Linked DNA regions of Mus musculus. The protein of the gene in region 6 interacts with the protein of the main gene of each other region in a pairwise test. Links are inferred from orthologs where the notes say so. Each region holds a gene or a part of one and is shown on either strand. Other genes may lie near its edges. The genes, in order: Zbtb8a, Gpatch2l, Top3b, Chd2, Zbtb48, Trim41 and Meox2.

The links.
Region 1: the proteins of Trim41 (region 6) and Zbtb8a interact in binary tests that used the Homo sapiens proteins (3 or more experiments, as listed by UniProt). The two-hybrid records come from large-scale screens. The link is inferred for Mus musculus from reciprocal best matches to the Homo sapiens genes TRIM41 and ZBTB8A.
Region 2: the proteins of Trim41 (region 6) and Gpatch2l interact in binary tests that used the Homo sapiens proteins (3 or more experiments, as listed by UniProt). The two-hybrid records come from large-scale screens. The link is inferred for Mus musculus from reciprocal best matches to the Homo sapiens genes TRIM41 and GPATCH2L.
Region 3: the proteins of Trim41 (region 6) and Top3b interact in binary tests that used the Homo sapiens proteins (3 or more experiments, as listed by UniProt). The two-hybrid records come from large-scale screens. The link is inferred for Mus musculus from reciprocal best matches to the Homo sapiens genes TRIM41 and TOP3B.
Region 4: the proteins of Trim41 (region 6) and Chd2 interact in binary tests that used the Homo sapiens proteins (3 or more experiments, as listed by UniProt). The two-hybrid records come from large-scale screens. The link is inferred for Mus musculus from reciprocal best matches to the Homo sapiens genes TRIM41 and CHD2.
Region 5: the proteins of Trim41 (region 6) and Zbtb48 interact in binary tests that used the Homo sapiens proteins (3 or more experiments, as listed by UniProt). The two-hybrid records come from large-scale screens. The link is inferred for Mus musculus from reciprocal best matches to the Homo sapiens genes TRIM41 and ZBTB48.
Region 7: the proteins of Trim41 (region 6) and Meox2 interact in binary tests that used the Homo sapiens proteins (3 or more experiments, as listed by UniProt). The two-hybrid records come from large-scale screens. The link is inferred for Mus musculus from reciprocal best matches to the Homo sapiens genes TRIM41 and MEOX2.

Annotation. Positions count from the first base shown.
Region 1 is NC_000070.6:129,375,229-129,379,461, forward strand, and holds the start of Zbtb8a (zinc finger and BTB domain-containing protein 8A), read right to left. Parts: upstream 2,801-4,233; 5' UTR 2,512-2,800; intron 1-2,511. UniProt on the Homo sapiens protein: May be involved in transcriptional regulation.
Region 2 is NC_000078.6:86,286,858-86,289,362, forward strand, and holds part of Gpatch2l (G patch domain-containing protein 2-like), read left to right. Parts: intron 1-1,942; coding exon 1,943-2,118; 3' UTR 2,119-2,505.
Region 3 is NC_000082.6:16,869,486-16,873,535, forward strand, and holds the start of Top3b (DNA topoisomerase 3-beta-1), read left to right. Parts: upstream 1-1,250; 5' UTR 1,251-1,570; intron 1,571-4,050. UniProt on the Homo sapiens protein: Releases the supercoiling and torsional tension of DNA introduced during the DNA replication and transcription by transiently cleaving and rejoining one strand of the DNA duplex.
Region 4 is NC_000073.6:73,468,747-73,472,246, forward strand, and holds part of Chd2 (chromodomain-helicase-DNA-binding protein 2), read right to left. Parts: intron 3,144-3,500; coding exon 3,051-3,143; intron 983-3,050; coding exon 812-982; intron 1-811. UniProt on the Homo sapiens protein: ATP-dependent chromatin-remodeling factor that specifically binds to the promoter of target genes, leading to chromatin remodeling, possibly by promoting deposition of histone H3.3.
Region 5 is NC_000070.6:152,024,813-152,028,777, forward strand, and holds the start of Zbtb48 (telomere zinc finger-associated protein), read right to left. Parts: upstream 2,801-3,965; 5' UTR 2,731-2,800; intron 2,725-2,730; exon of another isoform or gene 2,335-2,724; coding exon of another isoform or gene 2,245-2,334; coding exon 1,576-2,244; exon of another isoform or gene 1,407-1,575; intron 1,208-1,406; coding exon 966-1,207; intron 1-965. Other genes in the region: Tas1r1 (taste receptor type 1 member 1 precursor), read right to left, coding at 3,254-3,965. UniProt on the Homo sapiens protein: Plays a critical role in transcriptional regulation and chromatin remodeling. Acts as a regulator of telomere length. Directly binds the telomeric double-stranded 5'-TTAGGG-3' repeat.
Region 6 is NC_000077.6:48,807,392-48,810,891, forward strand, and holds part of Trim41 (E3 ubiquitin-protein ligase TRIM41), read right to left. Parts: intron 1,890-3,500; coding exon 1,659-1,889; intron 1,097-1,658; coding exon 1,074-1,096; intron 967-1,073; coding exon of another isoform or gene 960-966; exon of another isoform or gene 881-959; intron 862-880; coding exon 734-861; intron 456-733; coding exon 1-455.
Region 7 is NC_000078.6:37,107,255-37,111,339, forward strand, and holds the start of Meox2 (homeobox protein MOX-2), read left to right. Parts: upstream 1-1,285; 5' UTR 1,286-1,576; coding exon 1,577-2,090; intron 2,091-4,085. UniProt on the Homo sapiens protein: Mesodermal transcription factor that plays a key role in somitogenesis and somitogenesis and limb muscle differentiation. Required during limb development for normal appendicular muscle formation and for the normal regulation of myogenic genes.

The DNA.
Region 1 (4,233 bases), on a different chromosome or scaffold from region 6:
TTCTACCCATTTTACTAATGAAGGCACAGCACTGTATTTACCCTCATTATGTATGCCACGAAGAGGTGCCTTCCGGGAAGCAGAAAGAAGCCACACAGGGCACCATAATCTTGTGCTTCCCAGCATCTACCAGTGCAAGAAGTAAATATCTGTTCTGTTGTTTTCTTCTAGACAGGGATTCCCTGTGTATGTAGCCCTGGTTGGCCCGGAACTTGATCTGTTGACCAGGCTGGCTTCCAAAACAGAGAGATCTGCCTGCTTCTGCTGGGATTAAAGGTATGCAACGCCACGGCCCAGTAATATCTGTTCCTTCTATGTGACCTGACCTTCGGTAATCTTAGTAGCACATATGGTCTACAGGGTCTAAGATAGGAAAGTCTTAGAATGAAATGTTAGAACACTTAAGAGGGACTGGGTAGATGGCTCAGCAGTTAAAAGCACTGGCTGTTTCTCCAAGGATCTGGGTTCAATCCCCAGCACCCACATGGAGGTTCACAGCCATCTCTAACATCCATGTAAGGGGATTCAACACCCTCATCTGGCACCAGGCAAGCACTTGGTATACTGGCACAAAGGCAGGCAACACACACACACACACACATATATATATAAATCTAAAAAAAAAAAAAAATAGAGAGAGACTCGAGTTTTGAAACTATACTTGGAAAGGCCTCACCGAGAAGATGACATCTGAGTGATTGGTGTCCATAGCAGGAAAGAATGTGTATCTTTGAAACTACTCCAGGCAAACCAAACAGCAGGTGCAAAGGCCGTGAGGTGGACAGGAACAGATGGAGGAGGGATGGGTGGGGAGAGGAGGTCACTGTGGTGTGCCAGTAATGTCGGCTAACCCCAGGGTCTTGGGAGGCGGGGCAGGAAGAAGTAAGACCAAGGCAACCCTGAGAAAACCCTCATCTCATAATAAAATTAAAATTTAAAATAAGGGGCCTGGGGATGTATCTCAATGGTAACATTTACCTAGCCCATGCAAGGCCCGGGTTCAAAATACACACACACACACACACACACACACACACACACACACACACACGCCACACGCACACACACCACACACACCACACACACACACACACACACACCATGGGGGTTTTGGATTTTTTTATTTTTTTAGTAGGATGTGAAGGAGCCATTTAAGGTTTGGAGAGGGCTGGGTTTAGTGGTAGAGTGCCTATGTGACATGCATGGGTTCAATTCAAGTACAGGATAATATCAGGTGTGGTGATCTATGCCTGTAATCCCAGCATTTGGTAGGGGCTGCAAGAGAATCAGAGGTCCAAGATTTAGGGCTAGCCTGGGGTACATGAAACAGTGCCTTCAAAAAAAAGATATATAAAATAGCTTTTTAAAAGAGGAGTTTTAAAACTTATATTAACGTCTTTGAATATTAAAAAGTATATAATTGTGCCAAAAATTTGCCTAGTGCATCCCAGCCCTCCCGAGGTGGAGGTAAGATCAAATTTTCAAGTCTAGCCTGAGTCCGCTTTAAAACAAAGAATAAATAGGTAAATAAAAGTGCGATTTAAGTGATAAAATCAGCGAAGGTTTTGGTACTTTGGAGACTGTTCCGGGACGCTGCAAGAACAGGGCGCCTTGGGGGGCTGCCACGTCTCAGCTCCCTGCCTAGGGATGAGACTCCCTAACCATTAGCGTTTTATTTTTCCCCCTTTCCCCTTTGCTAGGTAGAATAAACAGCCGGAACCCGTAGCCGTCTCATAAGAAATTAAGTGCAATATTTCGTCAAAGTGAAACCACTCCATTTACTAAAGTTCTGCAAATAGAAAGACTTCTAGGTGTTGGCGGCGTGTGTGGTTGGGTGCCCGCTAGGTGTGAATCCTATTCCAAACACGTCTCGCAAAGACGTGGATTACGAATAACCGCACGGTCAAGGGCGAGTAAGCGCGCCAGAGCGCGAAGGGACTAAAGCCGACAGTGTCTCCAGGTGGGAGATGCCAGGGACATTCTGCCGCGGGGCCAGCTGGGGCTCCATATTTCTGCCCTCGGTTCTAAGCCCAGAACTGTCGCGTCGTGATGGAAAACCAGAGAGTGGAGGGCGGAGTGAGACCGCCGGGCTGCAGCGCCCCGCGCCCCGCGCCCGACGTCTGCAGACACGCCCGGCCCCGTGGCGCCGCCTCGCCGCCGCGGCCGTCAGGAGGCTCGGGCGCCTTCCCGCCTTTCCCCGGGCCGGGCCAAGGCTGGCGGCGGGGCGGGCGCGGGCGGCGACGGTGCAGCCATTGTCCCGCAGCCGCGCCCGGGGCCGCCGCCGCCGCCCGCGTCTCCTTTGTGGCCGTCGCCGACCCTCGGAGCCGCCGCTCTGCGCCCCCGGCTGCAAATGGCGCCGGGTGCCCCCTGCGTCGCCCGGCGCACCGGCTGGGGTTGCAGTCCCGGGGCGCACCCCGGCGGCTCCGCCGCCCTCCGCCAGGCTCTGGGCCCGGCCCGCAGCCCCGACGCCCGGGCCGCCCTCCTCCCGCCCGCGCCCGTGCAGCCACTTACCGCGGGGCTCTAGCCGCTCGCTCGCTCGCTCGCTCGCGCGCGCGCGCGCTGCGGAGCGATTCCCGGTTCCGGGTAGGGGAAGCAGCCCCTTTCCGAAGCCGAGGCTTTGCGCCCTAAAACAAGTAGCCCCAACGTGGGAGAAACAAAAGGTATTTGCTGACGTGGGCGTTGGACAGAAACGCCCGAGGGCTGAGGACACAATTAAAGGGGCAACGCACAGATTTCAGGCACCAACCAGCAGCTTCGCCCACTCCCCCTGTCCGTGCCCACGCCCGACTGCACCCTCCGCAGGCACTAGGGCGCCCAGGTTCCCCAGCAGTTGATTGGGGATCATTCTTTTAGTCGGGAGCTTAAATTTTAAAATTGTACTTTACGTTGGGAAAGGCGCCTCCGGAGGGCAGAAGGGCTGGATTTCTAATATGTGGAGATATTGGTTCAAGGAGAGAGGGAGGGACTTAGGCGTGCCCACAAATACTGTATACATGTGACATTATTGTACTTAAGTTTAGCGACGTAAAATGGGAGAGAGTTCCACAAAATCGCCCTTTGACGAAGCACTTAATTTCAGTTATAGCCTTTTAGAAACCTCTGTAGGTCCCCATCAAGCCCTTTGAAGAGGCAAGCCCGGAGGGGCTGAGATTAAGAGGCCGTGATTCTTTATATAAAACTAGTACAAAACAGTGTTTCGTGTTTTCAAATATAAAAATTGGTCGTAAAATCAAGTTTCTCTTCTGACGTGACCCTAATATTTATGGCACACAAATATCAGGTGATACATTTCCTAAAATAGTAAACCGCTGAATTTTCATACTGCTTAAATTCCACAAACTAAATTAGTTTTCTACTTCTTCACGCTGATTGTCAAGTAATGCGGAATGGGGGAGAAGATTCAAAGTCTCAAAGCATGCGTTTAATATTTTGAGGCGTTCCTCTCCCAAGCCTCAGTCAAGCCCATCAGGGTCCTATTTCTCCGATCTCCTCACTAAGTAACTATGTATTCGAACATCATTCTCTCTGAGAATACAATACAGTCATTTCTGAATGAAAAAAAAAAAAAAAGGAGAAATAAAAAGGAAAGGGACATGCCTGGTCCTAGGTATAGTGGAGGAGAAAGTTTATTATAGATATGTGGGAGAGCACAGCCAGAGGCAGGAACATCTGGGAGAGTACAGAGTGAACTGAGCTGTGCCCTGTGATGTGGGGTGGGGGAGGGAGGAGAGAGAGCAGCAGAACCAAGTACAGCAGGAGACCCAAATTACAAAGAGGGTAGGGAGCCAAAATGGTTGGATTATATAGGGAAGAATAGCTCAGCCCCCTGGACTGGAGGATTCAAGCTAGGGGGCCGGATATGCCAGCCTAGAGGACCCTGTAACAGGTATTGGACTGAGGGATGCTGGGAGAACCTGGTGGCCAGGTCAGCTTTGACATGTTAACTAGGCACCCCAGCTATTTGTCCCAGGTTTGACACCTAACAGTTTCTTAATGTCACACCTGTTTACCCCAGGGGTGCTCTGTGATTAAGATTCGTTTCCTGGACTTTTGAGGTAATGGGAGATAATGGAAGGAAAGGTAGACCAGTGCTTATTTGAAAATCACTAGGACAGGGCTGGTGAGATGGCTCAGCGGTTAAGAGCACTGACTGCTCTTCCAAAGGTCCCGAGTTCGAATCCCAGCAACCACATGGTGGCTCACAACCATCCATAATGAGATCTGACGCCCTCT
Region 2 (2,505 bases), on a different chromosome or scaffold from region 6:
CATTTGATGGTGGTTTCAGAATCCAGACAAGACTTGACAGAGACACGGTAAGAGCCCTTGAGCATTCCTGGTGCCATGTCAAGTCCTACATCCTGTAGAAAAGCATACAGTTTCTCAAGATGGTCTTCATAAAACTGTCATGAGATTTGCCAACTCTGCTTCTTGGTTATATCATGTAAAGAGCAAAAGCAGAAAGTTTAAAATGTTTTAAAAATGTTACCATGTTGTGTGTATGGCTGTTTTGCTTGCTTATATGTCTGTGTACCATAGATATACAAAACTCACAGAAGTCAGAAGATGTTGGATACTCAGAAACTGGAGTTACTTAAGGTTGTGAGCCTCCATGTGGGGGCTGGGAATTGAACCCAGGTTCTCTGAAAAAGTAACCAGTGCTCTGAACTGCTGAACCCCTCTCCAGCCCCCAAACAGAGTTTCCTATGCTGCTGGTCAGAGTAGAACAGCCCAGATTTCCATGGCCAGGTGAATGAGCATCAAAACATGGTGTGTTCATACATGGGGTGCCATTTAGCTAAATTTGACTTTGTGACTGGCTGTTAGAAATGTGCCAAGGCTATCCACTTGGGTAGAATTACTGGATGGGAAAGAAAAAAAAATCTAAAATGTGCTGTATTTTAGTATATCTCAGTATATTTGTATTCTTGGCAGAGTGGGCACACGATGGGAGTGAGAGTGGTCTGTCATGATCCACTCAGGGGCATTTGGAAAGGTGAAGAAAGTAACGGCACATGGTGGGGTGCCGTTGGCGTTCAGTGGACTGGGTCCAGGGGGCACACAGCACAGCTCTGCATCAGCACTGGTTACCCAGTCCAGAGTGTCCCACCAAACTTCCTTAAAGTACTGTGCCTGATTCTATTTTCTTGTCGTATTTACTGGTAACTCCATCATATTGGGGGTCCAGTGTGCCAAGAAAACCATAGGGCTTCCAGCCCAATATTTGAGCGTGAATTGCTACTTTTGATCATTATTTTTTATTTTATTGTATTGTATTTTATTTATTTATTTTGGTTTTATGAGACAGGGTTTCTCTGTGTAGCCCTGGCTGTCCTGAAACTCACTCTGTAGACCAGGCTGGCCTCGAACTCAGAAATCCGCCTGCCTTTGCCTCTGGGATTTGAGTGCTGGGATTAAAGGCGTGCGCCACCACACCTGGCTGAATTGCTACTTTTGATCTACATAGTTTAGTTTCCTGATCCATAAAATGCAGATGACAGTGCCTACTTCTAAGAGTTTCCATTAAGAAATTAGGTCATGCAGGTAATGAATGCCACAGCTGTGATCCCAGTACTCAGGGGCTGAGGCAAGAAGACTGAGTTTGAAGCCATCTTGGGCTACTTCGTACGATGTTATTTTAAAAAAGAAACACACACACACACACACACACACACACACACACACACACACACATACCCAACATGGGGTGGGAGAGAAAGAGTGGGGGAGGGAGTCATGAGTGTCCAGTGCTTAGCAGAGCAGTGCCTGGTACATGTATGCTCCGTGGGTGAAATGTTTTGGGGTTTTCTGTATTGTAAATTTGTCCTAAGTGTTTTAAGTGAAGAAAACATTAACAGGTGATTAGGACATGAAATATAAAGATTAGCCACCGCCGCCGCCGCCTCTTCCTCCTCCTCTTCTTCTTCTTCCTCCTCCTCATCTTCTTCCTCCTCCTCCTTCATTTATTCATTTTATATATGTGAGTATGCTGTAGCTGTCTTCAAACACTCCAGAAGAGGGCATCAGATCTCATTACAGATGGTTGTGAGCCACCATAGGGTTGCTGGGATTTGAACTCAGGACCTGTGGAAGAGCAGTCAGTGCTCTTAACCACTGAGCCATCTCTCCATCTCCAGCCCCCAAGAAACTTATTTCTAGTGCTTCTTATCCTAACTTCTTACACTAACTCCTCTCCCTTCTTTTGTGACAGTGCACCCAGATGTTCTGGAGCCGGCCATCCCAGCTCAGAAGCCTCCTGACTCCGAGTGGTTGGACGGGACCTCTGCAGCAGAGAAAGCCACTGCCTTTCCTCCAGCCACGTTTTTCAAAATGCCACAGGAAAAGAATTCTGGCTGCAGCTCTAGCCCAGGAACCAATGGGTGTTGAAACTTTGTATTGTACAGTCTTAGTGTTCTGATTGGCAGTCTTGGGCCTAATGCCACAAGGACTGACTCCTCGTCACGCACAGCAGTTGCTCTTTCTTTGAGAAAATATTTGGGGAATCTTTTTTTGTAAAATATCAATTTTCCTTAAGTGGGTGGGGCACCCTCTGCTGTCCCCTTCCTTCGTTGCTCGCCCACCATTCACCTTCAGCTGCTGCCTTAGAGCTGCCTCTCCTTGGCAGCTGTGTCTTTGTTCCTGAAAATCTAGCAACAGCTTTTGCGTACCTTCTGTGTAGAGCTTTTCATGTCGCTGATGAAATCCTAAATTTGCAGCCAGTTGGAAACACGTTGCTGGATGGGATTGTGTCTGTGCAGTAAGGCTGGCCATCGA
Region 3 (4,050 bases), on a different chromosome or scaffold from region 6:
CTCCTTAAACCTAAGCCTCATATCAGACCCCAAATATGTGTGGGAGCAGTCACTGGGCCTCTTTAGATGTTCCTCTACCATATGTGAGCACACTAAATAAATCTCCTTCCTCTGCTTTTTAGTATTATCTCTTTTAATTACATTTTTATTTTCATTTCTTTTGTGTTCACATGGCCAGCTTGGCAGCCACTGTCTGCCTGCTGAGCCATCTTATAGGTTTCTTACTTGTCTCGTTGACAAGTTGGGGCTGTCATAGCCAGTCTTGGTAACAAAAGGATGGCTTAAAAACATAAGTTTGAGGCCAGCCTGGGTCCACAGTGAGTTCCAGTGAGTTCCAGGATGGCCTTGGCTACATAATGAGACAATCTGAATATATACATACATATATATATATATATATTTTTTTTTTTTTTTAAGACAGGATCCCACTATTTTGCTCTGGCTGGCTATTCTGGAACTCAATGTGCAGATGAGGCTGGCCTCGAACTCACTGAAATCTGCCTTTCTCTGCCTCCCAAGTGCCGAGATCAAAGTTGTGAGCCACCATACCAGGCTATTAAAAAACGGTATGCTAATAAAGTCATCAAAACTATTTTAAAACTTCCATAATTCTAATACTCTAAAAAAATTACATATTATCTTCCAGATACATTAACACAAGTAGTGTGGTCTTCAAAATTTTAAAAGGTGCTTTGTTTTGTTTTGTCTTGTATAGCCTATAGTCCCAAGCTGGAATGAAATTCACTATGTAGCCCTGAATGACCTCTAACTCGCTGTCTCAACCTTCTGATTGCTTGATTCCTGGTAAGAGCCACCATCCCGCTCACAGATGTTGCTAACACTGAAAAAGCCTGCTATCTGAAATGTTTAAATTATTTTAATTATTGGGCTGGTTAAGTGGTTAAGGACCTGGGTTCAATTCCCAGTACCCATATGGCAGCTCACAACTATCCCCAGTTCCAGGGAATTTGACACCCCCGCACGGATGTGCATATGCAAGCAAAACACCAATGCATATCAAATAAAAATAAACTTTACATTTTTATTTTAATCATTAATTGCATATTTTCATCAGTTCTCGTAATCATACTGACAATCGTCATTAATGTCTTCTCCGGATGATTTTTTGGAGACACAATGGAGACTTGGGGAGCCCCTGCTGCTCCCAACAGGAAGCAGACAGCAAGGCACCCGGAACTCACCAGCCTCGGAACTTGCAGACACCTTAGTGTCGACATCGGAGGGCAGATGAGGGGACGCCACAGACGGACAGAGCCGGAAGTGAGTTCGTGAGTGGCCACCGGGGAAAGCACAGCCGGAGCGAGAGGCGCAGCGGCACGGCGGGTGAGCAGTGGGATGCTGGCTGCTCGAGGAAGCGGAAGACGCTGGCTTTCCCCAGGCATTTCCGGAATGGTAGCAGCGCTCCGACCCGGGCGGGGGCGTGGGGGAGGGTCCTGCCCTGGCGCGGCTTTTTCGCCATCCAGCCCTCGCCGTGGGGCCTCTGGGCGGCGGTGGAGCCGCGTTTAGTGGGCAGTGGTCGCTTTTCCAACGAGCTCCCCGCGGCCCCGAGGTGAGACGTTTCCCCCTAGTTGAGGGTAGGGAAACCGGCTCAGGGAAGTTGTGCTGCCCACAGAGGCTCAGGCCTGCGGTTTGCGTTCTTATCCGAAGGTTCCACTCGCTGCCTCCCGGAGCCTGCTCTGTCTGGAGACCCAGGCTGTTCTCGGACTTGATCTCTGCAGATTAGGAGAAAACTTGGGTAAACCAATGAGCTAGAGTCGAGGGCCAGCTAGTTATGCATAGGGAAGAACGGATGACCTCTCTTAACCTATTTGGAACCCGGCCTTTGGGAACAGGACTGTGAAAAGCCAGGACGACTTGGATTTGATAGCCAGAGAAAGGGGGGAATTTTCACCGTTCGCCAAGGTCCCTTGTCGCTAGTCTGAATTGTTATGCACTGCGATTTATTCTGGCTTTTTAAACTAGGATGATGAGATGGCTCAGCGCTCTTACAACCAAGGTTCCGACCCCGGGAACTCACGTTGTAAAAAGAGAGAGCTGAATCCCACAATTTGTCTTCTGACCTGTGACCGGCAGCATGTGCGTGCCCATACATATCCACACACAAAATAACTGTTTATTTGTTTGTTTAACTTTAACTCCTATTTTATAGCAATGTTGGTAGACAGAGCTGCAGCATACTAGATACAAAGAAGGAGTTAAGAGACAGGCTTATTTTCCTGGATCTGTAGGTGATTAAAAGTCACTGAAGTGTTAAATTCTTAGATTTCCCATGCTTTGCTGACCCCTTTTGGGGCTCCTCAAGTTAAATCCACTACTACATAATACAAAAAGAAACCTCCATATTTACAGTGCTTTCCAAGGGACACTGATTAGTGAGGTGTGGCAAAGAATGGGCAGGTTGTCTTGCTATTCTCTCTTTGCAATCCACACCTAAATAGCCCTTTGCTTACCTAACTCCAGAATAGGACAAACTATAGTGTCAGAGCCTTGGCAGAAAAGACTTGGTATATCATGTAGGTTTATGTTAAGGAGTCTTATTTAAGTGATCATATATAAAAATTTTGGCTAGACATTTTGGTGTACTCCTGAATTCCCAGCACTCAGGAGTTGAAGATAGGAAGATCAAGGCCGTAGTGGCTATATAGTTAAGAGGCCAGCCTTGGCCACACAAGACGCTGTCTTTGCCCAATACACACACATACACACACACACACACACAGCAAAAGCTTAAGTGAATAGTGTTGTTTCAGAGTCACAAAGTGTGAGTGTGGTGTGTAGGTGATGCTTATAAGCCATCAAGTCCAGGTTTTCTCATTGGTTTTCACTTTGAAATGGAAGATGAGCCTTAATTAGGGAAGTCTTGACATTAATCACAGTTACAAAAGCTCTCTAGAGTAGAATCTGGTCTAGGTAAAGGGAAATGTTCCTGTCAAGGCCCTGGATTGTCTAGTTCTGTACCTTAAAAGAAGAAAAAAAAAATGTTTTAAACAGCTTATTGCTATGTAACTGAGTATAGCCTAAAACTCAAGCTTCCCCTGCCGCATCCAGCCTCGTGAAAGATGCAGTTACAGGTGTATGCCAGCATACTTGGCATTAGAAATCTTTTTTCTTCCTTTGAAATAGTGATAGAGCATTACAAAGTCCCCTTGTGCTGAAGTGCTAAAACTACTTACTTGTTTTGAGTCAAAGCTGAAGATAAATGTATATTCAAAGTGGACGGCAGCTGCATAGCCTGGCAAGTGGACGGCAGCTGAGAGCGAGTTGTGCCTTTCTATTACTGACCTTTACCTGGATATGTGACAGAGTCCGGCTAAGGCAGCGTGTCTGTGTCTGAAGGGACTTGTCAGTCTAGTCAATAATTTGGATCTTAGGTTGTAGAAGAGAAGAAGAGATACAAAATTCCCAAAACTTGGAAACCAGAGAGAAAGAATGCCTAGAAATAGAAGTGTTTGCTGGCAGTAACGTTAGGTGTTGCTGCTGTTGCTACTGCTGCTGCTGTTTTTAATGTGATGAGGTCTCACTGTGTAGCCCTGACTGTCCTGGAACTCACTGTATAGACCAGGCTGCCTTCAAACTCATGCTAAGAGATCTACTTGCCTCCTACCAAACCCAACATAAAGTAAGTTTTTGGTTTGGTTTGGTTTGGTTTTGATTTTAATGATATATAAGCATATTATTAGTTTTACAGGTAAAACTGTTGTCATGTATTCAGAGATTCATTCAATTGTGTTTGCTCACCATCTACTACTTCCCATTAGAGTGAGAAAAAAAAGTCCCTGCTGTCACATAGCTAGCTTATTTTTCAGGAGCTATAAGGTAAGAACCCGATAGGAGTCTATATCAGGCTTAGTAAGTACTACAGGGCAATATAGCAAAAACATTCTTAGAGGCAACAGGATAGAGCACAGGTTCTAGAGCAAACAGGTTCAGGGTCAAATCCATGTCCTACAACTCCAGCTCTAGTGTGACCCATGTTCCCATTATAGAACAATATGATGACAGTGTCTCCATCCCAACCACAGTGGCAGG
Region 4 (3,500 bases), on a different chromosome or scaffold from region 6:
TCAGGGAACAGGGAGAAAACTGTCATACTTTTAGTGACCTTGCAATTATTAAGTGTACTGAATTTAAAAGAGCCGATTAATTTTATACTGTAATATATAAGACACCCAGTATAAAACAGGAAAGCAATGACTTGTCTTTTTTTTCTCCTTTTGTAAAATAAGATGAAAATATGACATTCCCTTTGAGACAGGGTTTTCACAAGCAGGAAATAAAAATGCACTCAGGACTGTGTGCCACGCAGTAGCAGCTGACCCTGTGGTAATGCTCATTTAACAGGACAGCAGGCAAGCCTAGTAACTCGGAAAACTGGATAATAAACGTGTGTTCTTATTTCAGTAACACTGTATCCCATGGTGCTTATGCACGGCTGAATAAGCTGTGCAGCCTGTGGAGGCCCTGTACTAGTCATGCTTGCTAGCTTTCCCTACGGAGACCCAGTACTGTGAGCAGTTAAGGACAAAGAGAATTTGGCACTCTGAAACATGAGGACAGCAGCAATATGGACTTAATTGTCTTCAGGACTGTCAACAATTTTAACCTCAAAGACAAAGTAAAAACTTCTGTAAACTCGGAACCCTTCCAGTCATTTCTCAAAAAAACCAATCAGCAAAGACCAACTAAAAGGGCCCAGGGTGTGCTTATGAGCCCTGCACGTGCTACTTCGTGTCTGCCCAGCAGGCCTGTGTCAGGGCCTCTCCTGTGTCAGGGCCTCTCCTGTTCAGGGCCTCTCCCGTGCATGGGTTCTCCCTGACGAATCTATATGTGCAGTCACTCAGGACAGGCAGAAAGTGAACTTCCCTCTCACCTCACCTTTTTAGTGGAACTGCGAATCCGAGGCAGCATATAAATTTCTTCCAGCTCCTTCTGCCGTTCTTCCTCCTCCACTTTTTTCCTTTGCTCTTCGGGAATAATTTCATCCCAGTCTTTGTGAGGACGCTCTTCTAGCTCCTCTTCATCTTCCATTGTTGCAAAGTTGGCAACCTGAAAGACAAAAGACAACCCCCGTCTGACATTTCTCAACCTCCAAACACCATCTGCAAGGTATCAGCTAAATGAACATTTTTAATTTAGAACGCTGTAATAGGACTCATAATATTATGTAATCAAAATAATTTTTTTACTATTCTCACCTTTTTATTTCCCCCAAATCAACTTAACAAAGCTATCAGTTCATCAAAAATTTTATTAAAATTAGGGAAATAGATATAGAAAGGTTAAAAACTGTTTGGTAAGTTTTACTGAAATAAGTGTATTTCACTTGCATCGCACTGCCTGGGTAATTTCACGGGCTTAGACTGTAGGACATGTTTGGCACCTAATTATCATCCATGATGATCCCACATCCCTCTATGATGAGCTGCAGCCAGCTCTCAGTCACCCTGTCACCTTACTCACCTTTATCAGAAGTGTAACCAGTCAAAGTATGTATGTGCTCAAAAGCCCATCTTAGTCTAGAAGACACACCATTTGTCCACTACCAAATGCTGGCGGTAACTGCAGTCTAACGGTATGTGCCCCAAGAGAGCAAACCAGCAAGCCTCCAGGCTCGGGCTGCACTCAGACACCAGGCAGCTCCCTACGGAGCTCCCAGGCTCGGGCTGCACTCAGACACCAGGCAGCTCCCTACGGACTGTGCTGCCAGCGCAGAGTCCCAGTTCCAGTTTCTCGCTCTTTTATACTCCTTCCTTCTTGGCCTAAGAGTCTGCTGGAGCACAAATGGACCTTTACAGTTTACATTCCTCAAAGTCACTTGGAGGTAACACAAAATCAAATCAAAACTTTATGATGTGTAGTTAAAACTAACTCTTCAATTTTCAGTAAGAATATTTTGATCTTACAATCACATTTTTTAAATTTCAAGAAGAAGCATAATTTCTGAGACCGTTAAAAACAAACCATCTCACTGTCAATTATTTTTGCAAAAACTAGTTGTGCTGTTTACAAAAGTTTAAGTCTGGGGTTTGATAGTAGCTTGTTTATTTTGTACACACACATGTCACTGCACGTGTTGTAAAGGACAAGGACAGCCTGGAAGAGTCAGGTCTTCTCCCTCGACACTAAGTAAGCAGTCTCCTAGACCCAACAACTTTCCCTGACATGTTTAACTCTCCCGTGCACTCTGGAAACACTTGCTACCCTGACTATCCTCCAGACTCCAGACCAATCTCCCACCCTAGGATTGCCAAGTGACCCAGGTTCCCTAACAGTAGGTACTGGCTGGACAAAGTCACATGGTGAGTGGCTCCACAGCAAAGAAACCACCTAGATTTATGTCACTCCCAACCAACTTCTCCCCACAGGCACTCTAACTCACAGCTGTCCCAAGACTTCCTGCCTCTCAGCAGAACTCAAGTCACAGACTTAATTCTCAAACTCTCCCTCCTCGGCACTGCGGTGATCTATTCCTTTTTTATGTTTTTATAAGACACTAATGACTATCCTTTATCAACCCTTTAGGAGGGGAAGGACAAGAGAAAAGGAAAAGAGAGTAAACAATAAAGGATAGGGAGGGGAAAAAAAAGGTCTAAGAGAATATCCCTCCAAAACCAAAACTGTAAACCAGGTACTGATGGCATATGCCTTTAATTCCAGCACTTGGGAGGCAGATCTCTGAGTTTGAGGCCAGCCTGGTCTAGAGAATGAGTTCTAGGACAGCTAGGGCTATACAGAAAAAACCCTGTCTCCATGAGGTAGGGGAGTCTCTCAACTCTCCCCTACAATTCCAATGCCTTTGACTTCTCTTGGCATCTGATGTCATGAATGGCTCATATGCCTCCATGCTTCTGGTCTTTTGCTTATCCTGTTGGCAATACATCAATGTCCTTTCCTCTGCCCGTGACTCTAGAAAGGACGGTTCACTTCAGTGCTTACCCTCATGGAACACTGCAGACTACAGTCCTAACATCCGAACTCAGAACGACACTAGCACGAGTTAATTCAGGTAAGGGAGGAAATAACAAGCCTCGTACAAACACAGAGACTAGACGAAGGGAGCTTCTAGTTAGTAAGTCAGTGTTGACTGGTTCCTCCCACATGGTCTTCATCATACCTTAAACTGTGAGAGCAGCTCATCTGTCGCACTAGTTGACACTTCATTCTCTCTGGTTTCAGCTAAACGCAAAATTTCATCTATATCCATTTCCTGAAGGAACAAAAGTAACAGAGATACAGGAGAAAAGCATCAGTCTCCGCATGGACTACAAGCCTTAGGTGCATGCACGCCTCTTCCCTACTACTCTATCTACTCCACAGCCTCAGGCACATCTTTCAAACCCAACACTTCCCACTGCTATTCATTTATAGTCAGGGAATTCTAGGAAAGAAAAATATGGGGAGATACAGAATCCTTCAAGGTTTTATCTGATCCTATTTAGTGTTGTAAAAGCTTTGAGCTTAGCAAGAAATAAAATTTTTTAAAAAGCCATATCCCTTCAAATAATTACTTTGTTTATAAAAATTTCTAACAAAGTATCTTTCCTAAAAAATTTAGATGTTCATA
Region 5 (3,965 bases), on a different chromosome or scaffold from region 6:
CATCTACCCCAAGGCCAAAGCCCAGGCATGACAAACAGGTCTCACTCCTACACCAGGTGAGCACCAGTGGCTTGCCAGAGTGACGCACTGACAACACAGCCTGGCTCGGTACTGCAGGAGACTAGTATGTCTACTTAGCAGCTGAGATGGGGCTGTGTCTACAGCACTCACTTTTATTATTATTTTCGGTGTGTTGGGAGGGCATTGGTTTTTTCGAGACAAGACTTCTCTGTGTATCCCTGGCTGTCCTGGAACTCAGGCTGTAGACCAGGCTGACCTCAATACCCAGAGATCTGCCTACCTCTGCCTCCTAAGTGCTGAGATCAAAGGTGTACACCACCATGCCTGGCATGTGGTATGGGATCTCAAGTAATTTGAACTCAAAACAAGCCAGGTATGGTGGCACATGGCTTTTATCCCAGCACTTGGGTGGCAGATGAAGGTGGATCTCTGAATTGGAGGCCAGCCTGGTCTACACAGTGAGAATTATAGGGCAGCCAGTGCTACATAGAGAAACCCTGTCTCAAAAAACAAACAAACAAAAAGCCTGACAAAACTAACAAGAGGACAAACCTCCAAGTCATAAAAGGTCCCTGTTGGACAAATGGCTCCTTATACATCACTGACCTACAAAGCTAACATCCCCAGAAACACAGGCAGCCTCCGTCCTCTCCATCAGCCTCTTGTCACAGCCCACACTGTCTATCAGACCTCAGCTTCAGCTCAGGAAGGGGCCAGAGGCCTGCCCACAGTCAAACTCCACAGTGGGTAGAATCTACTGACCAGGTATCCACAAACCCACAATCACAGAAAGACAGGAAGAGGTGGCATGCTGACCAGCCACTGTCTGGGCCTGACCTAGGATCCCCAGCCCCGCAGAGCCCGGAGGAGGGGAGTACAGGACCCTCTGCTGCAACACGGAAGGGCAGATAGGAAAAGGAAATTAAAACAAGCAGAGCATTTACCTGTTGTGGACTTTCAGGTAATATTTGCTGAGGAACTTTTTGTGACATGTGGGACATTCGACCGGAACGGCTGCACCTTTTCTGCTGTCAGTGGGCTCGGCTGTGAGAGAACCCGCACCCAGGGCTGGCTCGGCTGCACAGGGTTTTCTAATCACTTTTGACTTCCTTCTGGTTAGCACAGTCTCAGGCTCAGATACGTAATCACCGTCCCTGTCGTCCTCCACTTGGACCACCACTTCCCACTAGAGCAGAGGAGGCAGCAGGAGGGGGTAGGGTCACCCAGGTATCAGCAGGACCCAGCCTTCAGTTCCAACATAAGCCCCACCCCCAGATGGTCCGTTCACCAGAGACAACAGTTCCCTGCAGGGCCCAGAGGAGACTGCAATCTTGGACTTGGAGCATAGTGGCTATGTTAGCAGGGAGCTGGCCAGGATCACTAACCTAAGGAAATACCTGTAACCCTGACGCTCACTCCACCCCAAGGAAGCTGGCAACCATGGACAAGTGTAGCTCGCAGAAGGTCAGCTGAGACCACTGGCTTCCCATGTTTGCTCCCGAAGTGTCGGTCTTTACCCTTATGCTTGCCTCCCCAGTTCCCTGAAAACAGTACCTCATTGCTCTCGCCCTGCAGCGGGGCACCTCCAGCCTCGAAGGGCCTTGGGGGCTCTTTGCAGTCCTCAGACTCTTTGTCCTCTGAGGGAGAAGGCTTCAAAGCCTGCGTGAGTTTCCCACAGAGGAAGGCCGTGGTGCTCTGAGCAGGTGTACCCAGCTGGGGCTGCTCAGTGTCTCTGGGCTCCTGATCCACGGAGGCCAGGCTCAGAGTCCTGAAAACTTCCTCCTCATCCAAGTCTGTCGGCTCCTTCAGGTGGCTTTTCACGTCCTGGGAGGCAGGTTGACCCAGTCCACTCTGTGCCTGTCCCACTGAGGTTTGGGGCTGGAAGCTCTGACATAGCTCCACAGCCTCAGGCACCCTCAACTCTTTGGCTGCCAAGAGTACCTGATCCCTGTTCCCTGAGGTGAGGGCGAGGTGGCCAGTGTAGAAAAAGTCCAGCAGGAGGCCAAAAATCTCAGCAAAGCCCGCTGGGAGGACAACGCTGCCCCCTGTGCCATCCCCGTAGATTCTCTGGAAGAAATGGCTGCAACACGCCAGGACACTCCAGTGCGCCTTGAACACCAGGCCCCCCACGTCCAGTGTGGCGTCGCAATACTGGCCCTTCTCGCGCTGCTTGTTGAGTTCCTGCAGAACCCTCACGCTGTGCTGCACGAAGGAACCGTCCATAATCTGAAAGGGAAGGCAAACATGACCCCTCTGCTCAGCCCCAATCGGAAAAGCCCTTTTGGACCGAGAGTGAGATGGACACTTGCACATCCACCCATGTCGGGATGCAGGCTTGGGTCAAGGTTAGAAAGTGCACACAGAGTACACAGCCAGAGTGGAGTCTTGGGGGCGGGGAGCGGCATGGGTTGGCCGGAGGGGAGAGAGCGGGAGAGGAAGTGCATGGCGGGAGACAGGACAGGGGCAGTCGGGATAGGGTGCTGGTGGGGAAAAAATGAAAATGAGAGTTTGGGGCTAGACCAGCGTGGACGACAGCTGATCTGTAGAGCACCCAACGGACAGCCAGTAGGGCAGGGCGGCGGCTGCGCACAGGTGACCCAAGCCCACGCCGCGCCTGCACATCGCGGGCGGGCGGCAAGCGGAAGGCGGCGGCCACACGCTCCTGAGAGCCCGAGGCGGCTCTCCACCTCCCTCCCGCACCCTCCTCACCCCGCCGGTCCTCCCGGCTCACACCGGCTTCACTGCTCCGGCCTAGACCACTTCCACCGCCCACAAGACTAACTACTGCCCGGCCCACAGCGCGGAGACGCCACCGCCGCCGCGCCGGATGTGACATACAGGCGCGCAGGCAAGAACCGGACGCCTCCGTGGCGCAATGTCCTCGGGTCCCGCCTCAAAGGCGGAGCCTCAGAAAGAGACCAATGGGCAGCATAGGGGGCGGGACCAAGGGTAAATCCAACCGCGCTGGGTCCCGAGTCGCCTAGTAACGCCAAGCTGGGCGCTAGGCTCCTACTCCAGCTAGTTGGTGTGCGGTCCCAAGCTGTCCCCAGACCGGAATAGCAGCCAAGAAGCCACACACACACGTTTCACGTCTTTATTGCACTGGATCCTTCTGTGTGCTTATACATCGCAAGCCGTGGCTGAGCTCTCCCAGACACCTCAAGCTCTCCGCCCCACTCGACCCGCCACCTTCAGCCCATCTCATCTGCCCATTCTCAACAGCCCCAGCGGATCAGGTAGTGCCGCAGCGCCTCGTGTAGTCCTGGATGGAGGCCTGAAAGTGTTCTGTGTTGTTGAGTTCTGGACGGCAGAGAATCACGTAGCATTTAGGGAGGAAATAGCCGCTGAAGCCGCCACTCAGAGTGGCCAGCCCTGCCAGCACATTGACCGCGGGTAGGTAGCTGCCCTGGTAAATGCTGGACATGGTGAAGAAAGCGATCCAGGATACGAAGTGGAGGAGCAGGCTGAAGGTGACACATTTGGCTTCGTTATAGTTCTCCGGCAGTTCCTTACCCAGGTAGCTGCAGACAAAGGTGCTGATGGAGAGGAGGATGTTGTGTGCGAAAGCCACCAGGAAGCCCACAGAGTTGACCTCTGTGCACTCAAGAATCACCAGATGGGGGAAGCGCTGGTACTCCCTGGTGGGCCGTGGGGTCCACATTGCAAGCCACGTGAGACAGAGGAACAAATGGACCGTGGAGCTGACAATGACGAATATTCCGGCACCATGGTTTTGGGCCCAAGTGTGGTAGAATGTGGGTACCTTGGTAGAAAACTTGAAGATGATGACCAGTTGGAAGGAGCGGATTGTCAGACAGGAGAGGAAAATGGCAAACCCGAGAGAAAAGAGGGGCTGACGCAGCAAGCACGCGGGCACCGTGGGCTTCCCGAAGAAGCTGTAGAGGCTGCAACTCCCAGCTACCAAGGAACCCAGCATGAGGAAG
Region 6 (3,500 bases):
GTATACGCCAAAGCGCCGTGGTTTCTCACATGGGCTGAGCAGTGTCTGCTCTGTTGAGCTCTGTGCCTGGTATCGTTTGCCGTGGGTGCCCACACACCACACTTCGCGCTGGAGTAGGAGCTGCTGAGGCAGATGGAGCCGGCGGCGGCGATGATGATGGCGTGAGGAGCTGGCATCCCCACTGCTAACAGAGGACCCCCCAGAGCCCACTTTTTCTTTATGATGGGTTGATTCACGGGCAGCACCCACTGCCCAGCCTCGCCTCCCACCCACCTCTACCTCCCAGTAGTGCCGGCCAGAGCGGAAGCCCTGGGCCCCTAGTACACAGCAGTCAGCTGAGAAGCGCTTGGAATGTTCAGGAACCTCCTGCCGACGTTCTGCCAAGCGGACTCCACGGCGATCAGGGGACAGCAGCAGAGCTGGGTGAGCTGTGTCAGGGTCCAGTGTCAGGTCCACTTGGAAAGAGACATACAAAAAGAGTTAAAACAGCTTCCCATCACACCATCCTACCCCATCTTCTTAGTTCCCACCCTATGTTAGAAGTCAAGTTCAAGAACTATGGGTTCTAACCTTCACCCTAATTCTAACACCTGCTGGCCTGTCCCTGACTTTCCATCTCATCCAAAACTTAGCTGGGCTATCATGGAAGCAACTTTTGGCTTGAACCTCAGAGTAGCTTCCAGTAGTCTACACCATCCCAGTAAGCCAAAAGGAAAGGCAAAAACCTCCCTACCTCTTGCAGCCTGACAAAACATGCGGCTCATTTTCCTCACGATGGCGTCTGTCAGGAAGTCGTGGCTATGGGGTTGGCATGGGTCAGGGGACCAAATCTCTGGGGGCTGCAACTGTATCTCTTCACACCTGGAGGAGGGGGACCAGGTAGGGGGTGGGAGCATGATATTCCCAGAGTGAAGAATGATAGCTAAGGGGAAGGAGCAGAGGGTCTGAGAAGCAGAAACTTAGGTTCTGGGGAGAGAGGGTGGGAGGGGAGGGGAAAAGGAAAGGAAGTCTCAGAGAAGCAGAAATGGGGAACCAGACACTACTAGGTTACAAAGGGTAGAGTGGGAACACACCTATTGAAAGTCTCCTTGATGTCCTGGGAATAACAGAGACAAAAAGAGGGAAAGGGAAAAAGAGAAAGAAAGTGTCAGCTACACAGGGGTCACTGCTCTCTTCAGCAGAGAAAGGTCTGAATGTGAACAGGAAGGGAGAAAGCAGCACCTTCCAGGCTCACAATAAACAAGAATATTTCTCAACTACCATAACTACCACAAAGACTTAATCATCCTACCAGAAACTATCAGAATGCTATTACTAGTTTTTTTTTTTTTGTTTTTTGAGACAGGGTTTATCTGTGTAGCCCTGGCTGGCCTCGAACTCAGAAATCCACCTGCCTCTGCCTCCCAAGTGCTGGGACTAAAGGCGTGTGCCACCACACCGGGCTTTCTTTCAACTCCTAACCCCCTAATTTAAACAACCGAATTTGCATTCTTTAGGTAGGTATGATTGCCACACACATACTCAATACTGTCACCAGCTTTTTAAAAAAAAAGTCTTGTTCGAGGTACAGGCAGTTCTGCAGTAGCTGGAGAGAAACTGCCTAATGGAACAGAGAGGAAGCAGGAGAGTGGATCAGGGCAAAGGGGAACAACGCTCACTTGCAGTAGCCGCAGGCCCCCCTGTTGGCTCCGTTCTTGGGCTTCAGCAAGCAAGCGGCTCAGCTGGGCAGCCTGCTCTTCAAGGCGGTTGGCTGCTGCTCCCGCACGTCCTAACTGAGCTTCGTGCATCTCCCGGAGGCGCCTCTCTAATCCTGCCTGCTCTTCAGCCAGAAACCTTGTTAGCCGCCCAAACTCTGAGGCCACAGCTGCCAGCTCTGACTTCATCTGGCTCTGAAAAGATGCAAAGGCAGACATGAAGACACAGTTCTGTGATCCAGAGGAACCCAGTATGATTCCCAGCACCCACATGGCAGCTCATAACCATCTGTAACCCCAGTTCCTGGAGATCTGATGCTCTCTTTTGGCCTCTAGGGCAAATGAACATATTTGCATACATATACATACATGCAAGCAAAACATCCATACACTAAGATTTAAAAAAGGAGAGTTGCAATGGGAATAGAGGCTACCACCTGAATGAATACACAAAAAGGTAAACTTGACCTTTTCTGTCTGTTGCCTCTCAATCTCAGGCAAAGGAGTCTCACGCTCCCTAACTCCAACGTGTCCTGGGAACGGGAAGAGAAGTCTCCTCCCCCGTCTCAGTCTTATTGACCCTGAGATAGGCCAACTCCTGCATCCTGCTTCACATTCACCAACTGCTTTCTGGAATACTTAGCTCTTCCCTGTCTACCTAACTTGCTTTTCAGATGGAAACTTTCATGTTCCAAAGGACATGAAAAATCTCTCCTCTCCAGATTTCTGTACTACCAACTCTGTATTTCTGACTATATCTCCATAGTGTATGGTATTGGAAATGCTATGTTAGAATACAGACAGGAGTGGGGACACATGTAAAGATCAGAGGACAACTTGCAAGAGTGGGTTCTCGAAGGGCAGTGGTGGCGCACGCCTTTAATCCCAACACTTGGGAGGCAAAGGCAGGCGGACTTCTGAGTTCAAGGCCAGCCTGGTCTACAGAGTGAGTTCCAGGACAGCCAGGGCTACACAGACAAACCCTGTCTCGAAAAACAAAACAAAGAGTGGGTTCTCTCCTTCCACCAACTTGGTCCTAGGGATCAAATTCAGGTTAGCAAGCTTGGTGACAGATACCTTTACCAACAAAGCCATCTTGCCAGTCAAGTTTTGTTTTTGAGACAGAGTCCTGCTCTGTAGCCCTGGCTGACTTAAAACTCACAATCTTCCTGTCTCTACCTCCTCTGCTAGTTTAATTTAAAGATAAGCCACCCGCCCAGCTTTGTGGTGTCCTTTAAGTTTCTCTTCTACTATGCCACATATTCCCACAGATAGGACCGGCATAATCCTTTACCACAGTGTCATCAGAGGCTGGCACAGTGCCAACCACAGGTAGGTACTTGGTAAGAAATTTTTGAAATTACCAAATGAGAGAACTCAGGAAGCAATATATGAAGTGAACTTAGACATAAGGGCTCATGCATATAATGCCAAAACTCTTCAAGACTGAAGCAAGTCAATTATTCCACATCTGAGGCCAGCTTGGGCTACAATATAAAACCCTTTCTCAAAACACAAAAGGAAGATGCCACACAGTTAAGTCCTGACTCTCAGTAGTCACAGTCACCAGAAGAGAGCAGTCACTCAAGTTCTCTAGACTAGGAGTCAGCAAACTCCTGTAAAGTTGCAAACAGTAAATGTTATACACTTAGGGCAACAGGTAAAACATTTTATAGGTATAGCTGCTCCTAGATATTCAAGTGGGTTTGTTTCCAGGAGACCCAAATCAGCAGATATGCAAATAATCCCTTTTTCTCCCATATATTTTAAATGTCTCATAACACCCAATACAATGGAAATACTACC
Region 7 (4,085 bases), on a different chromosome or scaffold from region 6:
ATCCCCTTGGCAGACACTTCCTAGATAGGAACAGGCTTTCCTGCAGCCCACTCTCCCAAGCTTGTTGTGGGTTAAGGACAGGACTTCCAGTAGATTCTGTGGCCGCCCAAGCTAATTGCTGTGTCAACCCCAGCCCCTGCTCTCACAAATTCACTGGTGGCAAGGTGTGCAGTTAGTTCATTTCCAGGAGCACAGGCTGTAAACCTGGGGGAAATGAACCATGATAGCAGGGTCCACGCTGAGGGAATGTTAAGTTTGCTATCTGCTTAAAACAGAAAGGTGGTGAGGAATGGAATGTATGCAAGGAGCATTAGCTCTGTGAGCTAAAGAGAGATTTCATTTCTCAAAGGATGGGAGCGGGCTGTGAATTGGCTCCTGCAGGGTTAAGCTAGCTAGGAAGGGTGAAGCTGGGAGCAAGTTAGACTTGCTCATTTGACATTTTTTCGGGTTATTCTTGACCCCCCCCCTCCCAATTTCCTCGGTGAGCAAATGGTGAGAAAATTTCGCGAACTGGACTGGTAAAGAGAAGTAGGGGTGGGAAGAGGGTCAGAAAAAGAAGGAAGGGGGACACCACTTGGAGCAACACTTGTGTGTCGCCAAGGCGCCAGAGCCTACATCCACCTCTGTGTCGCGCACACCCCATTGTATATCTGTCCTTTCTGCACTCAGAGTAGCACTGTGCTAGCCTTGGTGCACAGCTCTACAACCTCCGCCCTGGCTCTAGGTTTTCTAACAATCTATTCTCAGATACCTAAAAGAGAATAAACCTAATGTGTTTACGCTGGAACCGTGAGTGGCCTCTGAGTTTGAAAAGCTCGACAGACTAGGCTCTTCTTCTCTTGAAAGTTCTCTTGAAAGTTCTCTGTGGTCTGCAAAGTCAGGGAGTAGTCAGGGAGCTCCTGCAGGTGACCCCAACCCCCACCAAGGCTGAGAGATCTAGGTTCCAAGAGCAGTGAGCTACTCAGAGACACTGTGTGCTGGCTTAGGGAAGCTGAGTGCCTCTGCGTCTGGCCATGGGAACCTATGGGACAGATTGCGGTGGCCCGGAGCGACTGAGGCTCTGGGAGCACCACTAGCTGTGGTGGAAGCTCCCAGGGCCCGACGGGCGGGCGTTGGGCAGCGGCTCCTGTCCTGCCAGCAATGGGAACTGGAAATGAGAGAGCACGGTGGCGCTGACTGAGCGGGAGTTTTGGAGGGAGTTTGCATGTGGTCAGCGCTGGGCTCCTAAGCCAGCCCCCAGCTCACATTACACTCTATTTATAACCTCTCAGAGCCATTTCCCCCTGAAAGCAGTTCTCTGGGACCACCTTCTTTTGGCTTCCACCTCTCCCACACTTGACATCTGAGCAGCTGCGAAGGAAGCTCCTCCAGGTCCTAGTGTTTATACGTGCAGGAGACTGGCCGCTAAGGCTCAGGACTGGGATTAGCCGGCTCTGCTCAAATGCAAACGCGCGCGGCTTTTACTTTTGGAGTGAGTGGGGGAAAGTCTTAGGATTTCCAGTGAAAAGTGACAGCGCTTGGTGGACATTCGGACCGTCCGTGAAGTCTTCTGCTTGGAAGCCGAAACTTGCATGCCATGGAACACCCCCTCTTTGGCTGCCTGCGCAGCCCCCACGCCACAGCGCAAGGCTTGCACCCCTTCTCCCAGTCTTCTCTGGCCCTCCATGGAAGATCTGACCACATGTCCTACCCCGAACTCTCCACATCTTCCTCGTCTTGCATAATCGCGGGATACCCCAACGAGGAGGGCATGTTTGCCAGCCAGCATCACAGGGGGCACCACCACCACCACCACCATCACCATCACCACCACCAGCAGCAGCAGCACCAGGCTCTGCAAAGCAACTGGCACCTCCCGCAGATGTCCTCTCCACCAAGCGCGGCCCGGCACAGCCTGTGCCTGCAGCCTGATTCGGGAGGGCCCCCGGAGCTGGGAAGCAGCCCTCCGGTCCTGTGTTCCAACTCATCTAGCCTGGGCTCCAGCACCCCTACCGGGGCCGCGTGCGCACCAGGGGATTATGGCCGTCAAGCGCTGTCACCCGCAGACGTAGAGAAGAGAAGTGGCAGCAAAAGGAAAAGCGACAGCTCAGGTGAGTGCGGGCAAAGCAACCCTGGGGAGAGTGCGCTCTGGGCTAGGAAGATGCGGGGAGGTGTGGGATGTTTCTCATAGAAAGACAAACTGTGAAGCTGCTAGCCTTTCCTCGCTCTGGTGGGCGAGTTCATCCATGGAGCGTCCGTCCTGTAATTCAGGAGCACGTGTTTCACTGAAGTTAATATATCTACATCCAGCCGTTCAAAGCCCTCCAAGATCGCAAATCAGTTTTCCAGAAGTGGTGAAGAAAGAGCAAGTGACACTATGCAAAATCGGTTAAGGGAGCGTGGCGGGTCCCTCCACGGGTTGGGAGGGGTGTGCCCATTGGGATGCTGCATCCGCTGGGCATGCATGCCTGCGTGCGTGTGTGCGTGCATGCGGGTTTCCTTGACTTTTCCCTTCCAATTCCCAACTCTGAACAACTCGACTTTTCCTATCCTTAACTGGGTTTCCAAATTATTGCGCAATGCCTTGAACTTTAACTGGATTTGACCAAATACGAGAAAAAGAAAAGGAAAGAAAAGAAAAGAAAAGAAAAGAAAAGAAGAGGAGGAAAAGAAAAAAGGAAGAAAACGGAAAAGGAAAGAAAAAGATAAGGAAAAATTAAAGAAAGAAAAAGAACAGAAACCTAAAACTTTTTTTTTAATATTTTTGCTTTCAGAGTTCCTTAAATAGCACCTTTCTTAAAATGATATTTAAAAAACAAACAACCCCTCCCCAAACATTCTATTTATTTGGCGAAAAAGTAATTATCTAGTAATCTAGAAGTGTTTAAGGAATACCTCTGAAAACTTTGAATAAAGAGTATTCTTATAGTAATTACACTCATATGGTGCTAACCTGGTTTGGGGGGGGGGGGGGGACGGGGACGGGAAACAAGCAAAAAGTCCAAATCAACCAACCAACCAAAACAAAATGTTTGAACTTCGACTGTGGAAAATAAAAGCCTTCATCAATTGAGTAGTGCTTTGAGATGCAGTGGAGAAAGTGGACAGATAACAGTCCTGACAGTGCTGGAAGAAGATGCAGGGAAGGTGTGGGTAACTTGAGCAGTCCTACAAAAGGGGAGCCTCCCAGAAGAATTCAGGGGCCTGGAAGTCCAATAGCCAGTGCATCCTGACAGCACAGAGAAACTAAAAATTTCCAGGAAACACAACAAAGCCCTTAAATACATTCCTCATTGTAAATGTTCTCTCTCTCTCTCTCTCTCTCTCTCTCTCTCTCTCTCTCTCTCTCTCTCTCTCCTTCCTTCCTTCCTTCCTTCCTTCTTTCCTTTCTTTCTTTCCTTCTTTTTTTCTTTATTGAATCTTCTATGTAGTTACAAGGCAACCTGGATACAGATTTAGAAAGACGTCACTTAACTAGTAAAATGTTTACATATATTACGTTTTCTGTGCTAGTGTCTCGAGAGAACATATAATTCTAGGCAATAGTTTGAAGAATTGAAAAATAATAGCATTTTAAACATTTTAGGCAAGGTGTTCTGCAGTGTAGGGCAGTAAGGGCTGTGTATTTTGTAATGTGTTGAAAGATGATAGAAATTTTTCTTGACCTCGGTGTGGGGTGACTCCTTGCTTCCCAGCCTCACTATTGAACCTGTAATTTTTCAGGTCCTGGGTGAACGATTAATGATGCTTCATCATGATTAGTTATGTCTAAGAACTCGGTCATCGCTGTTATTCTGTTTACTGGTTATCTCTAACTGTATGTGAAATCCTAAGATACCAAAAAGGTTCCTAAGAAGGCATCAGAACGCACTGGGTTTCCCCAGATTGGGCATTTATGAGCAGAAATGCATGGATTGCTTTGGCAGGTTGCTATCTACTTCAGGGAGGACCAGAAGCTCGGATTCCGTGTTTTCTTTCCGCAAGGGGGAAACTGCGCTGCTTCTTAGCTGAACCAATGCCCTAAAGATTATTTGCGCACACGAAGGAATTTTTTTTTTTTTTCAGGCACAAGTTATTTTTGGTTGGGGAAACAGGGAGAGTGAGAC